Saccharomyces cerevisiae S288C: one gene and its partners. Changing the gene in region 3 together with the main gene of any one other region gives a genetic interaction. Each region holds a gene or a part of one and is shown on either strand. Other genes may lie near its edges.

Evidence for each region.
Region 1: mutations in STU1 (region 3) and MAD1 together harm fitness more than expected from each alone (negative genetic interaction), as found in Saccharomyces cerevisiae (5 studies listed by BioGRID, with this or other methods).
Region 2: mutations in STU1 (region 3) and XRN1 are lethal when combined (synthetic lethality), as found in Saccharomyces cerevisiae (4 studies listed by BioGRID, with this or other methods).

Annotation. Positions count from the first base shown.
Region 1 is NC_001139.9:345,063-348,899, forward strand, and holds the start of MAD1 (coiled-coil domain-containing protein MAD1), read left to right. Parts: upstream 1-2,056; coding exon 2,057-3,837. Other genes in the region: MF(ALPHA)2 (Mf(Alpha)2p), read right to left, coding at 1-91; YGL088W (uncharacterized protein), read left to right, coding at 774-1,139; E2 ubiquitin-conjugating protein MMS2, read right to left, coding at 1,344-1,746, 1,832-1,842. UniProt on the Saccharomyces cerevisiae protein: Central component of the spindle assembly checkpoint. Thought to recruit MAD2 to unattached kinetochores. During checkpoint activity, MAD2 is relayed from the MAD1-MAD2 complex to the mitotic checkpoint complex (MCC).
Region 2 is NC_001139.9:178,372-181,971, forward strand, and holds the start of XRN1 (chromatin-binding exonuclease XRN1), read right to left. Parts: upstream 1,743-3,600; coding exon 1-1,742. Other genes in the region: FG-nucleoporin NUP49, read left to right, coding at 2,329-3,600. UniProt on the Saccharomyces cerevisiae protein: Multifunctional protein that exhibits several independent functions at different levels of the cellular processes. 5'-3' exonuclease component of the nonsense-mediated mRNA decay (NMD) which is a highly conserved mRNA degradation pathway, an RNA surveillance system whose role is to identify and rid cells of mRNA with premature termination codons and thus prevents accumulation of potentially harmful truncated proteins.
Region 3 is NC_001134.8:156,564-160,400, forward strand, and holds the start of STU1 (Stu1p), read right to left. Parts: upstream 1,827-3,837; coding exon 1-1,826. Other genes in the region: RIB1 (GTP cyclohydrolase II), read right to left, coding at 2,093-3,130; HEK2 (Hek2p), read left to right, coding at 3,621-3,837.

The DNA of each region.
Region 1 (3,837 bases), on a different chromosome or scaffold from region 3:
CGGCTGGCACCTGAGCGATATCTTCATCGGAACTAGCAGTGACAGAAACGGCCGCTAAAATAAAAGTGAGAAAGGTAGAAATGAATTTCATTTTCTCCAATATGTGAATTTACTGGAATTTGATGCAGGTGATGGTAGTAATTATCCATTATATAGAATATAAAAACAGATATAGGAAGGACACCTCAAACTACACCAGAATCAAGGACAGCTTTTATACATATAAGCCCTCGTCTCTGCGCTGTAAAGACACCAAGTTTCACTAGGTCCACGGCGACTCTGTACTGAAACAACTGAATATTTGAAACAGTAACGATGAATAGTTTGGCTCGATACCTTGAAAACAATCACTACAGGCGTCGCCCAGATGCGCACATCGTTGCTGGCATTGATGTACCAATGAAGAAATATAAGTGACAAACTTTATGAAAAGATAGAAAGAGGTTTACAAGATAAGAGAAAAATTATGCTGTGAAGATTAGTAATCGAAGTAACTGCTTATTCATTCAGTGCATGTTTTTCTAGGAATGCGTTTGATATGGGACATACATCTTACTATGCGACATTACCTTTTAGGGACATCAATGAGCAAGTGAACACTAGCAAATTAGGAAAACAACTTTAGCACGCCCAACTGCGTACTGAAACGCAGAAAACTATAGAGTTTCCCGAAACGGTGACAGCTGAGTTCGCTCAAATAAGAACAACACCATGTCTTGAAGCTTCTTCTATAGCGTAGAGTAAGTAGTGCCTTGTAGCCCTACCGTTTTACAATGCATGAGGTTACCCGCACTTATTATTTTTTTCTCTTTTTTTTTCTTAGCTATAAAAGGCAGATCAATGCAGCATTCATTGCTTTATTTGACTTTCCTTTACTATTTATTTACTTTCCATTTCTTATTTTAGTGTTATTTTATAACAGTAACGCAAATTTAACAGCCATTCGTAACACGTACAGTATCTCGTCGAGGTTGAACCCCTCCGGGGCGTTCTTGACCCATGAAGAATGTGGATTGGTGTTGCAATATATTTATTATTGGCTTGGACTGGAGAACAAATTTATCGATCTTGGGTGCAACAGTCTTTCTGTCGTCTGTTTTTTAGCAGATCTAAGGGTTTACCTTCGTGTGCCCGGATGAGGACCGTTGCAAGGATTGATAATACAACTATATACATCATTATCGTAGTGAATTGCACGAGTAACTTCTCGGCATGGGGTGAGTAAATTCATATTATGAAAGTAATTAAACTTACTACCTAAATAAGAGGATATCTATGTCTTATTGCTTGTATATATGAGTGGCTTGGAATGCTGCAAATACTGTTTAGGAAAAAGTAGATAACTAAAAGGTTTCTCCTTCCTTCGGTTGACGCAATTTCTTGTTCGCTGGGGTTGCCATTTCCTTTCTAAGATCAAGTAATAAAGTTTCCATGGTGTAGGCTCTTTTCCAGTCACGTAAGGTGTGGAAGTCAGTTTGGACCTCCCCCGTAGTTGGATTGACGCATGGTAGATTTATCTTGGAAATGAAAGTGACCTTTGGGGGAGAATCTGGATAGTTTGGGCCACAATCTATAGAAAGGGAATAGATTCTGTTTTCATGATTACTATGAGGGGGCCCTAAAATAGTGCCGTTCCATTTGGTCATGGTAATATCGTCGCTATCAGCTAAACCATAACTACATGATTCTGGACCAAACCCTTTTTCACCCTTTTCTAATTCTTCTAACAACCTAAAATTTCTTGGTCTGATTTACAATAGGACAGTGAGGGTACATTTCAAGAATTTGTTAGTATATGTTGAAATCCCTTTCAAAACTTATAATAACATACACTTTTGACATTTTTGTGTAAACGCTGCTTTCTTCTACGTTGCATATACAGAATAAGAATTTCACCACGACATCGAAATGTAATGAGCAGAGATTGTGTAGGAAGTTGATCTTATTTTAGTCTCTTATTTATCGCTAAAGGAGCAATGAAAATTGATAGCGTGTTACCCTAGGAATAATTCCTAACAATTTTTTCCATCTTAAAATCGAGAGGTAATAGTAAATAATGGATGTGAGAGCGGCATTGCAATGTTTCTTCAGTGCATTGAGTGGACGATTCACTGGAAAAAAATTGGGACTAGAGATCTATTCTATCCAGTACAAAATGAGCAATAGTGGTGGGTCCTCTCCTTTCTTGGAAAGCCCTGGAGGTTCGCCCGACGTAGGCAGTACAAATGGACAAAGTAATCGTCAGATTCAGGCGTTACAATTCAAGCTCAATACTCTACAAAATGAGTATGAGATTGAAAAATTGCAGCTACAAAAACAGACGAATATCTTAGAAAAGAAATATAAGGCCACGATTGACGAATTAGAGAAAGCATTGAATGATACAAAATATCTTTATGAAAGCAATGATAAATTGGAGCAAGAGTTAAAGAGTTTGAAAGAAAGATCAGCTAATTCGATGAATGATAAAGACAAATGCATAGAGGAATTGCGAACAACCCTCCAAAACAAAGATTTAGAAATGGAGACTTTAAGGCAGCAGTATGATTCGAAGTTATCAAAGGTCACTAACCAATGTGACCATTTCAAGTTGGAAGCAGAGAGCTCTCATTCGCTACTGATGAAATATGAGAAAGAAATAAAGAGGCAAAGTGTGGATATCAAAGATTTGCAGCATCAAGTGATGGAAAAGGATGATGAATTATCTTCGGTAAAAGCATCTAAGATGATAAACTCACATCCAAACTACTCCACCGAAGAGTTCAACGAGCTCACTGAAATGAACAAAATGATCCAAGACCAAGTTCAGTATACTAAAGAATTGGAACTAGCGAACATGCAACAAGCCAATGAATTGAAAAAACTTAAACAATCCCAGGACACTTCTACTTTTTGGAAATTAGAAAATGAAAAACTACAAAACAAATTAAGTCAATTACACGTACTCGAAAGTCAATATGAAAATCTTCAATTGGAAAACATAGATCTAAAATCGAAATTAACCAAATGGGAAATTTATAATGATAGTGACGATGATGATGATAACAATGTTAACAACAATGATAATAATAATAATAATAAAAATGATAATAATAATGATAATAATAATGATACAAGTAATAACAACAATATTAATAATAACAACAGAACCAAAAATAACATAAGAAATAACCCTGAAGAGATTATCCGGGACTGGAAACTTACCAAAAAGGAATGTTTAATTTTGACAGATATGAATGATAAGTTAAGATTGGACAATAACAATTTAAAGCTACTGAATGATGAAATGGCTTTAGAGAGAAACCAAATACTAGATTTGAACAAGAATTATGAAAACAACATAGTAAATTTGAAAAGATTAAATCACGAGTTAGAACAACAGAAGAGTTTATCTTTCGAAGAATGTCGATTACTGCGCGAACAATTAGATGGCCTATATTCCGCACAAAATAATGCTTTACTAGAGGTCGAAAATAGTGAAACACATGCGTCAAACAAGAACGTAAACGAAGATATGAATAATTTGATCGATACTTATAAAAATAAGACAGAAGATTTAACAAACGAACTAAAGAAGCTAAACGATCAGTTATTATCAAATTCCAATGATGTAGAAACACAAAGAAAAAAGAGGAAGTTGACAAGTGACCAAATTGGTTTAAATTATTCACAGAGGCTCAACGAATTGCAACTGGAAAATGTAAGTGTCTCGAGGGAGTTGAGTAAAGCACAAACTACAATTCAGCTACTACAAGAAAAATTAGAAAAGTTAACTAAACTAAAGGAGAAAAAAATACGTATACTGCAATTACGTGACGGCCCCTTCATAAAAGATCA
Region 2 (3,600 bases), on a different chromosome or scaffold from region 3:
TCAAATTCAATGTCTTGATCTAAACCCTTGGCTAAGTCGGAGATTCTTGGTGCATAATGGTGCGGATAGTACCACGACCAAGATGGACATCCTCTATAATAATAATATAGAACCCATTGTAAACCTTCAACGTAGTCTTTAGCAAGATCTCTCACTTTTTCTTCACTGTCTGTCGTAAATTTTAACTTGTCGTGATAATACTCATGCTTCCAACGTTCAAACCTTTCATTATAAATCGTTTTTTCAGTTTCCAATTCTTCTTTGTCCTCCACGATGATAGCATTTTGATATTTTTTTATTGTTTTCCTGATAGAATTAACACGATTTTGAAATTCTTCTTCTGTTTCATCAGGATTAATAGAATCAAGATCCATTTTTAGCGAATAACTACCTTTGGATTTGGAATGCGTTATAAAAAGACCCAAATCAAAAGCGAATTCTTTTAAAAATTCTAAATGATCTTTCATGTCTAAGTCCTTAGGTAACTCTAAAGTTGGAATTTCTTCATCTGGTAAATCAGGCGATAATTTTTCCTGTAATTGCTCCATCAACCATGGTTTTATACTTCCAATTAATTTCTTCTGTTGTTTTACCAGTAATTTTTTACCAACCCTCTGTCTTTTCCTTTCACCCTCCAAAGAAATATTCTCTAATTGCTTGTTGAACCACTCAACGTCTATATCATCCTTTTCGAAATTTAATAACTCAAATTGAGACAGATAATTTAACCAGACACCTAATCTCTTTAAATTTATTTTACCATGTTCATTAATGTAGCCATCAGTATGTAAAAGAGCTTCTTTGAACGTTTGTAACAAAACGGGAAATGCTCCTTTGTTAAGGTGCAAATCTGGCAAATTGGGCAAGAAATCATTACCAATGACGAACATGACAAGAATAAAATCATCCAAAATACGTTCAAAATTGTATTCAAATTGCATTTCATCGGCAATTTCTTTGAATTCCAACTCCATGTATTCTCTTAATAAAGAAAGATGTAATAAGTAGAAATTTTGATGTTCAAGCGATTTTTTTTCACTATTTCTTCTACCAAATGTCACTTCTTCTCTCAATAACGCAAAATGTGGCCCATGAGTAGACAAACCCAGCATAATCAAATCTGCGTCAAGACCGTAAATACAATGTCTCGTATTCTGGTTGAAATCCTTTTGGGATTTTAAATGCCTTATAAAGTTCATGATCTTGTGTTCACCTTCACCTGGAACTTCATGGCCAGAAAATATGATTTGCACTTCCCTCCATTTGGAATCGTTAGAAATCTTGTCGTGAATAAAATATTGTAAGTTTTTGGTCAATTTGGCCATAAACTCCGTACCTGGAGTAATAGAATTCGAATCAAATGGCTCACCCTTAGGAATCTCGTCACCATTCTCAATAGCCTTCTTCAAGGCTTTTTCTGCATCCATAGCGGTTCTGAATCTACGAGCTCTTTGTTGATTCATCTTGGCACGAGGGGCCACACCATCAATAGCCATGTAGAAAATCTTCTTGGGCTTGATTGTTTGAAAAAGGTGATCGATATACGTACAGATTTTTGCAAAAACCTCTTCTTCAGTTAATCGCTTGGTTACATCATCGTCGTTACCATGCGTACAATTATGTAAAATCGAATTCATATCCAGGTATAAGTTATCAAACTCAGGAATCTGTGTTCCCTCAATAAGCTGTAAAATCATGGGCCATCTTTCTGAGATGTACCTGAAAAATTTTGGAATACCCATACCGTACTGATATATATTTGTTGCTGCTGTTGTTACAAGTGTTGATTTTTTTTCTCCTTATAGTACACGAATCGTCCTAGGATTAGTCAATTGCTTATTGTGAACCCGATTATAAGTACGGAAGAAGACAGTATCCTTTAGAAAATAAACTATTAACAGGAACGGAAATAAAAGGCAGAGAGAAAATAATAAAAGAATCGGTTCGCTTGTGCGAACGCCAAACAGATTTTATAATAACGGAAGAGCTGCTGAAAAAAAAAGCAAGCTGCAACTGTTATATTTGCGTAGATAAACTTTACAACCGGTAATTGGAAGTCGTAAGTACTTAGTTTGACGTTTTCAGTACTCGTTAAACTACTCCTTAAATTGCTTTCTAACCTCTTCTTGTTTGTCTCTGTTGTTACTTGCTCTGCGGTGGCGAAAAGACGAGCAAAGGAGGTTGTATATATCACTCAACACGGAATGTATTACAGCTTTCTCAAATAAATGTAGTTGAAAAAGACCATTAATCGTGAGAATAGTTACTGATCAGGTGATGAGACGATAAAAACAGTAATTGAGAGGGTTTTCACGGGTAGTGGGCACAATGTTTGGATTAAATAAAGCATCTTCGACACCTGCAGGTGGGCTCTTTGGTCAGGCCAGCGGAGCTAGCACTGGAAACGCGAATACTGGGTTTTCGTTTGGTGGGACTCAAACTGGACAAAACACCGGCCCAAGTACAGGTGGACTATTTGGCGCTAAACCAGCCGGATCTACAGGAGGATTAGGTGCATCATTTGGTCAGCAGCAACAACAATCTCAGACAAATGCATTTGGAGGAAGCGCCACCACCGGAGGGGGCCTTTTCGGTAACAAACCTAACAATACGGCGAACACTGGGGGCGGGTTATTTGGCGCTAATTCGAACAGTAATTCTGGCAGTTTGTTTGGTTCCAACAATGCACAGACGAGTCGTGGTTTGTTTGGTAATAATAACACTAATAATATCAATAATAGTAGTAGTGGCATGAATAATGCAAGCGCTGGACTATTTGGCTCTAAACCTGCAGGAGGCACTTCTTTGTTCGGTAATACAAGCACCTCTTCGGCCCCTGCGCAGAACCAGGGCATGTTTGGTGCAAAACCAGCTGGTACATCTCTATTCGGCAATAATGCAGGTAATACGACCACTGGTGGAGGGTTATTTGGCTCCAAACCGACAGGAGCAACGTCTTTGTTTGGTTCATCAAATAACAACAACAATAACAATAATAGTAACAACATCATGAGTGCGTCAGGCGGGCTATTTGGTAATCAGCAGCAGCAACTGCAGCAACAACCACAAATGCAGTGCGCATTGCAAAATCTATCTCAGCTCCCTATTACCCCAATGACACGGATTTCCGAATTACCACCTCAAATACGTCAAGAAATTGAACAACTAGATCAATATATTCAAAAACAAGTGCAGATCTCGCACCATTTGAAGGCCGATACAATCGATCATGATGAATTGATAGATTCCATTCCTCGTGATGTTGCATACCTACTGAAGTCAGAATCTGCAACAAGTCAATATTTAAAGCAAGATTTGAAGAAAATATCCTCATTTAAATCGCTAATCGATGAGGACCTTCTAGACACGCAAACTTTTTCGGTGCTCTTACAGCAACTATTAACTCCGGGAAGCAAAATTTCTTCTAATGACTTAGACAAATTCTTTCAAAAGAAAATTCATCTCTACGAGAAGAAGTTAGAGGATTACTGCCGTATTCTCTCTGATATAGAAACTGCGGTAAATGGCATTGATACAGATTTATTTGGCGCCCCAAATAACCCTAATTCTACAGCTATCACAGCAGATCTAGGTTCATCC
Region 3 (3,837 bases):
TTCCTTTTCTGCTCCAGTAAACTGGTTTTTCTTGAAGAATTATTCGAAGAGTGAGAGTACAATCGAGACGTTGCAGAGGAGGCGGAGGCAGTAGAGGACACCCTGGAAACTTGATAGTTTATATTCAAATGAGCAGGGATTGCCAATTCTGTTGCTTTTTTCAACTGTGGAGAAAAGGAAGAACTCAATAATCTTTTGGCATTTGTAGGATAACATTTGTAGAAATACCAAAAAGTTAACCTCATTGCCTCTCTAACGGTTGTCTGTGAATCTGAAATGCCCTTTTTTAGCCATTCTTCGATGTATATGATGTTATTCTCCAACTTTGAGGTTGGCGAAGTTGTATTTGAATTGTTGAGCGAAAGATTGGAGTCGTTGAACTTAATCAGGAAGCTACGCAGCAGTATTGCAGAGCAAAATCTCGGTGTTACGGTTTTCTCATTTATTAATAAAAAAGATAATTGGAATAGTTTATTATGGAAATGATTTATATCAATGATCAAAGTAATTAAACAATGAAATGCAGTTTGTGAAGAGATTTTCTTGGTAGATGATAACAAGTTCTTGAAAATGACAAATATTTGGTCCAATATTGATAGGGGCAACTGATCGTTTAGGATATGGATTAGCCTCTTGAGGAAAAGTAATGCAGTTAATGATAACGTTGTCCTCAACGACGAGGTAGCTCTTGAAATCAACTCAATCAACTGCACCTCCTTTATTACAGTGACAAATTCCTCTGGATTATCTTTGGGAATGTTGCCGGATATAATGTTGTCTAATTCAATTATATTTGATTGCCTTAGCTTCCAATTTTGTTCTGTTTCCTTTACACTTTGGAACGGTGCCAACAAATTCTCCAAGTCTTGTTGTAATTGGTTCAAAGACTCATAGTTTTTTTTCATCGCTGGGTCTTTACTGCTCAAGTTGTTTGATAACTGCGGCAATTTCGCTTCGGCTAATAGTAATTGAAACTCGTACTCTTCGTCAAACAAGGTCGATTTATCTTCTTGTGAACCATGCTGGTCCTGTGACTTTGCTAAACTTATGAATTTTTGCTTGAATTTCTCAACTTCTAAATCGTTAATAAATCCATCTATCAGATCCTGTGAATTTTCGTCATCCATTTTCAAATACTTGTACATTATATCGAAAATAAGCTCTATTATTACATTATTGTTATCATCGTTTGCGTGTTCATTTAGGTTGTTATTTAAAAGGTTGGTGAAAGACAGCATGAAAAACCTCAGTAGTTGCAAATGATTTGAATTATTTTTCTCGTTGATCTGGATCAACTCATCGATGGTCAATAATGTAGATTTTATCCTATTCAGGTAATCTCCGTTTTGGTTTTCACTTGGTCTTCGCAAGAAATTTGCTAGAATAGCTTGGATCTTCGATGGATTAACCAAATAAATGGCTTCAATGGCTTTAATGGAAGCCAGCCAAAATTTCTTCTCATTAGGCAACTCGAAAATTAAGTGGTTTAGTAATTGCTCAACTAGAGTGTCATTGAATTGTACTGGAGACTGCATGGCCACACGTTTGATAAGGTAACAAAGCGAGGAATGTGATAGGAAGATTAACCGCGGGTACGAACGGTAAGCGTAATGGCCGGAGATGAACAGTAACGCAGCGAAATAAGCTTGGATCGACGATTCGTTAACTAGTTCCTTTTTTACATGTCCTTTGAACCGTGTAAGCAGTGCCATTTTTTCCTCGATGGGTACAGACTCGTCCTTGAATACGGTATACAAAGGGAAGGAATCGTCTGGATGTGTATTAGTGTTGCTGTTATTATTGGTCTCATTGTTGAAGGACGACATTATTTCTGAAGAATACAAGGTCTCTCCAAAAACCCTAATAATTACCGCTAAATATGCCTGTCAATCGGATGAAGGGAAGTTTCAACCTCAAATGTAAATAAATAGATGTTTAGCGTTTTAGAATAAATAAGTAAATAATTTGATTTTCTATAAAGATGTTAATGCGCCAATACGCGCCGACGGGGTAACGCATTAAAATAACATGGTATTTTCGTTTCATTACAAAAAAAGCACTATATGTACTAATAATTATGCTACACTTGTGTTTATATTGCCAGCGTCGATGTTGATGACAACGCAGAGTTCATACGGTTTTGGTTTTGGGCTTCACTTGTCTCAGTAGGTTGAGGGTTTGTATGAAGTTTCAGAGGCTCCGTTAGTAAATGACCCATTCTTTCTATCTTGGTCCTGAGATAACCTTCTATCTCCTTGGAGTCTATGCCTTCACTGGAGTTTGTCCAGTGTATGGGTACCATAGGCACTCGTTCAACGCACTTAAGGTAAGGCGCATGATCTACCTGTTTTATCTTTTCCGGGTTATTTGTCAGCAGCCTGACATTACCGATGCCAAGATCCAGCAAAATAGCCTTACCCAGCGAGAAGTCCCTAGCATCCACGGGATGTTTCAGCATTAAGTTGGCCTGCACTGTGTCAGCACCTAAGTCTTGCAGGTTGTAGGCCTTGAGTTTCTCACCTAACCCGATGCCACGACCCTCTTGTCTTAGATACACGATAACACCATGGCCGTTTCCACCTTTGATGTTGCTTGTGGGTTCGTGGTCGCAAGCGATAAGCCTACCGGCCCTATCGAATTGTTCACCACAATCACAACGGGCGCTCCATGCGTTTTCACCGGTGTAACATTCAGAATGGATCCGTACCAGCGTGTCGTTATGGGCGTCCCATGTAGTGGCTTTGGAAGCTAATAACTCACCTGTACTATCATCAAACTCCAGAGCTAATCCGAGTCTATCGTCTTCGTCTGCCACAGTTCTGCCGGGATACAGTTTGCCAATATAAGCGCCCCTGATCATTCTATCTTGTTGCGTCTCGCACTGTCTTCTACGGAATAGCGAGCGCGACCGTATGTCTTCACCAAACACAATGGCTAGATGTTCCTTGTTGTCCCTGTTGTTACTGTAAAGATGTAAAAAGATATCCGGACCCTGTGTGGTTGGGATACGAGCTCTTGCGACACATTGTACTAGAGGCAAGCCGCCATCGCCGTTCCTGCCATCACCCGTACCACTAACCTCGTATTTGCTGCTATCCTGTTTACTGTTGTCGTAGTTATCTATGGTCATCCTGTAGGTTTGTTGTAGTTTTATGTACGCCACTTTTTGTAATGACTCAATTATTGTCCACGCCAGCACAGCAACTTCTTTATATATACTATAGCGGCGCTGGCGCTCACCCCACAAGAGCGTCCGACTAATTTCTGACAAATCGTAAAAAGAAAAAGAAAAACTCAAAGGAAAAAGAAAAAGTCTCACCCTACACAACTTGTTTTCAAAAACGGTATAGACCCTACTATTTCTGTTTTAGCCCTATGCTAAGTCTAGACATTACCCTATCCCTTTTAACGAAAGCCCTTTTGTTTTTTTTCTGTGTGTCCGGCCGCTCAGCCAAACAACAAACAAGACTATAATCTGGAGCATAAGTACCCGAGCATATATAACTACTTGGCATACGAAGTAAAAGCATATTGCTCCCCACTCCTATCGCGCGTCCCCTGTACAACAAAGCATCAACTTATCGGGTAACTTAGAGACAGCATTAGTATATATACCAGCCATGTCACAGTTCTTCGAAGCTGCTACTCCCGTTGCAATTCCCACAAACAATACCAACGGCGGCTCCAGTGATGCCGGCAGCGCCGCCACTGGCGGCGCCCCCGTTGTTGGCACCACCGCTCAACCCACCATCAATCACAGGCTTTTGCTGTCATTGAAAGAGGCTGCCAAGATCATTGGCACTAAGGGCTCCACCATCTCACGCATAAGAGCTGCAA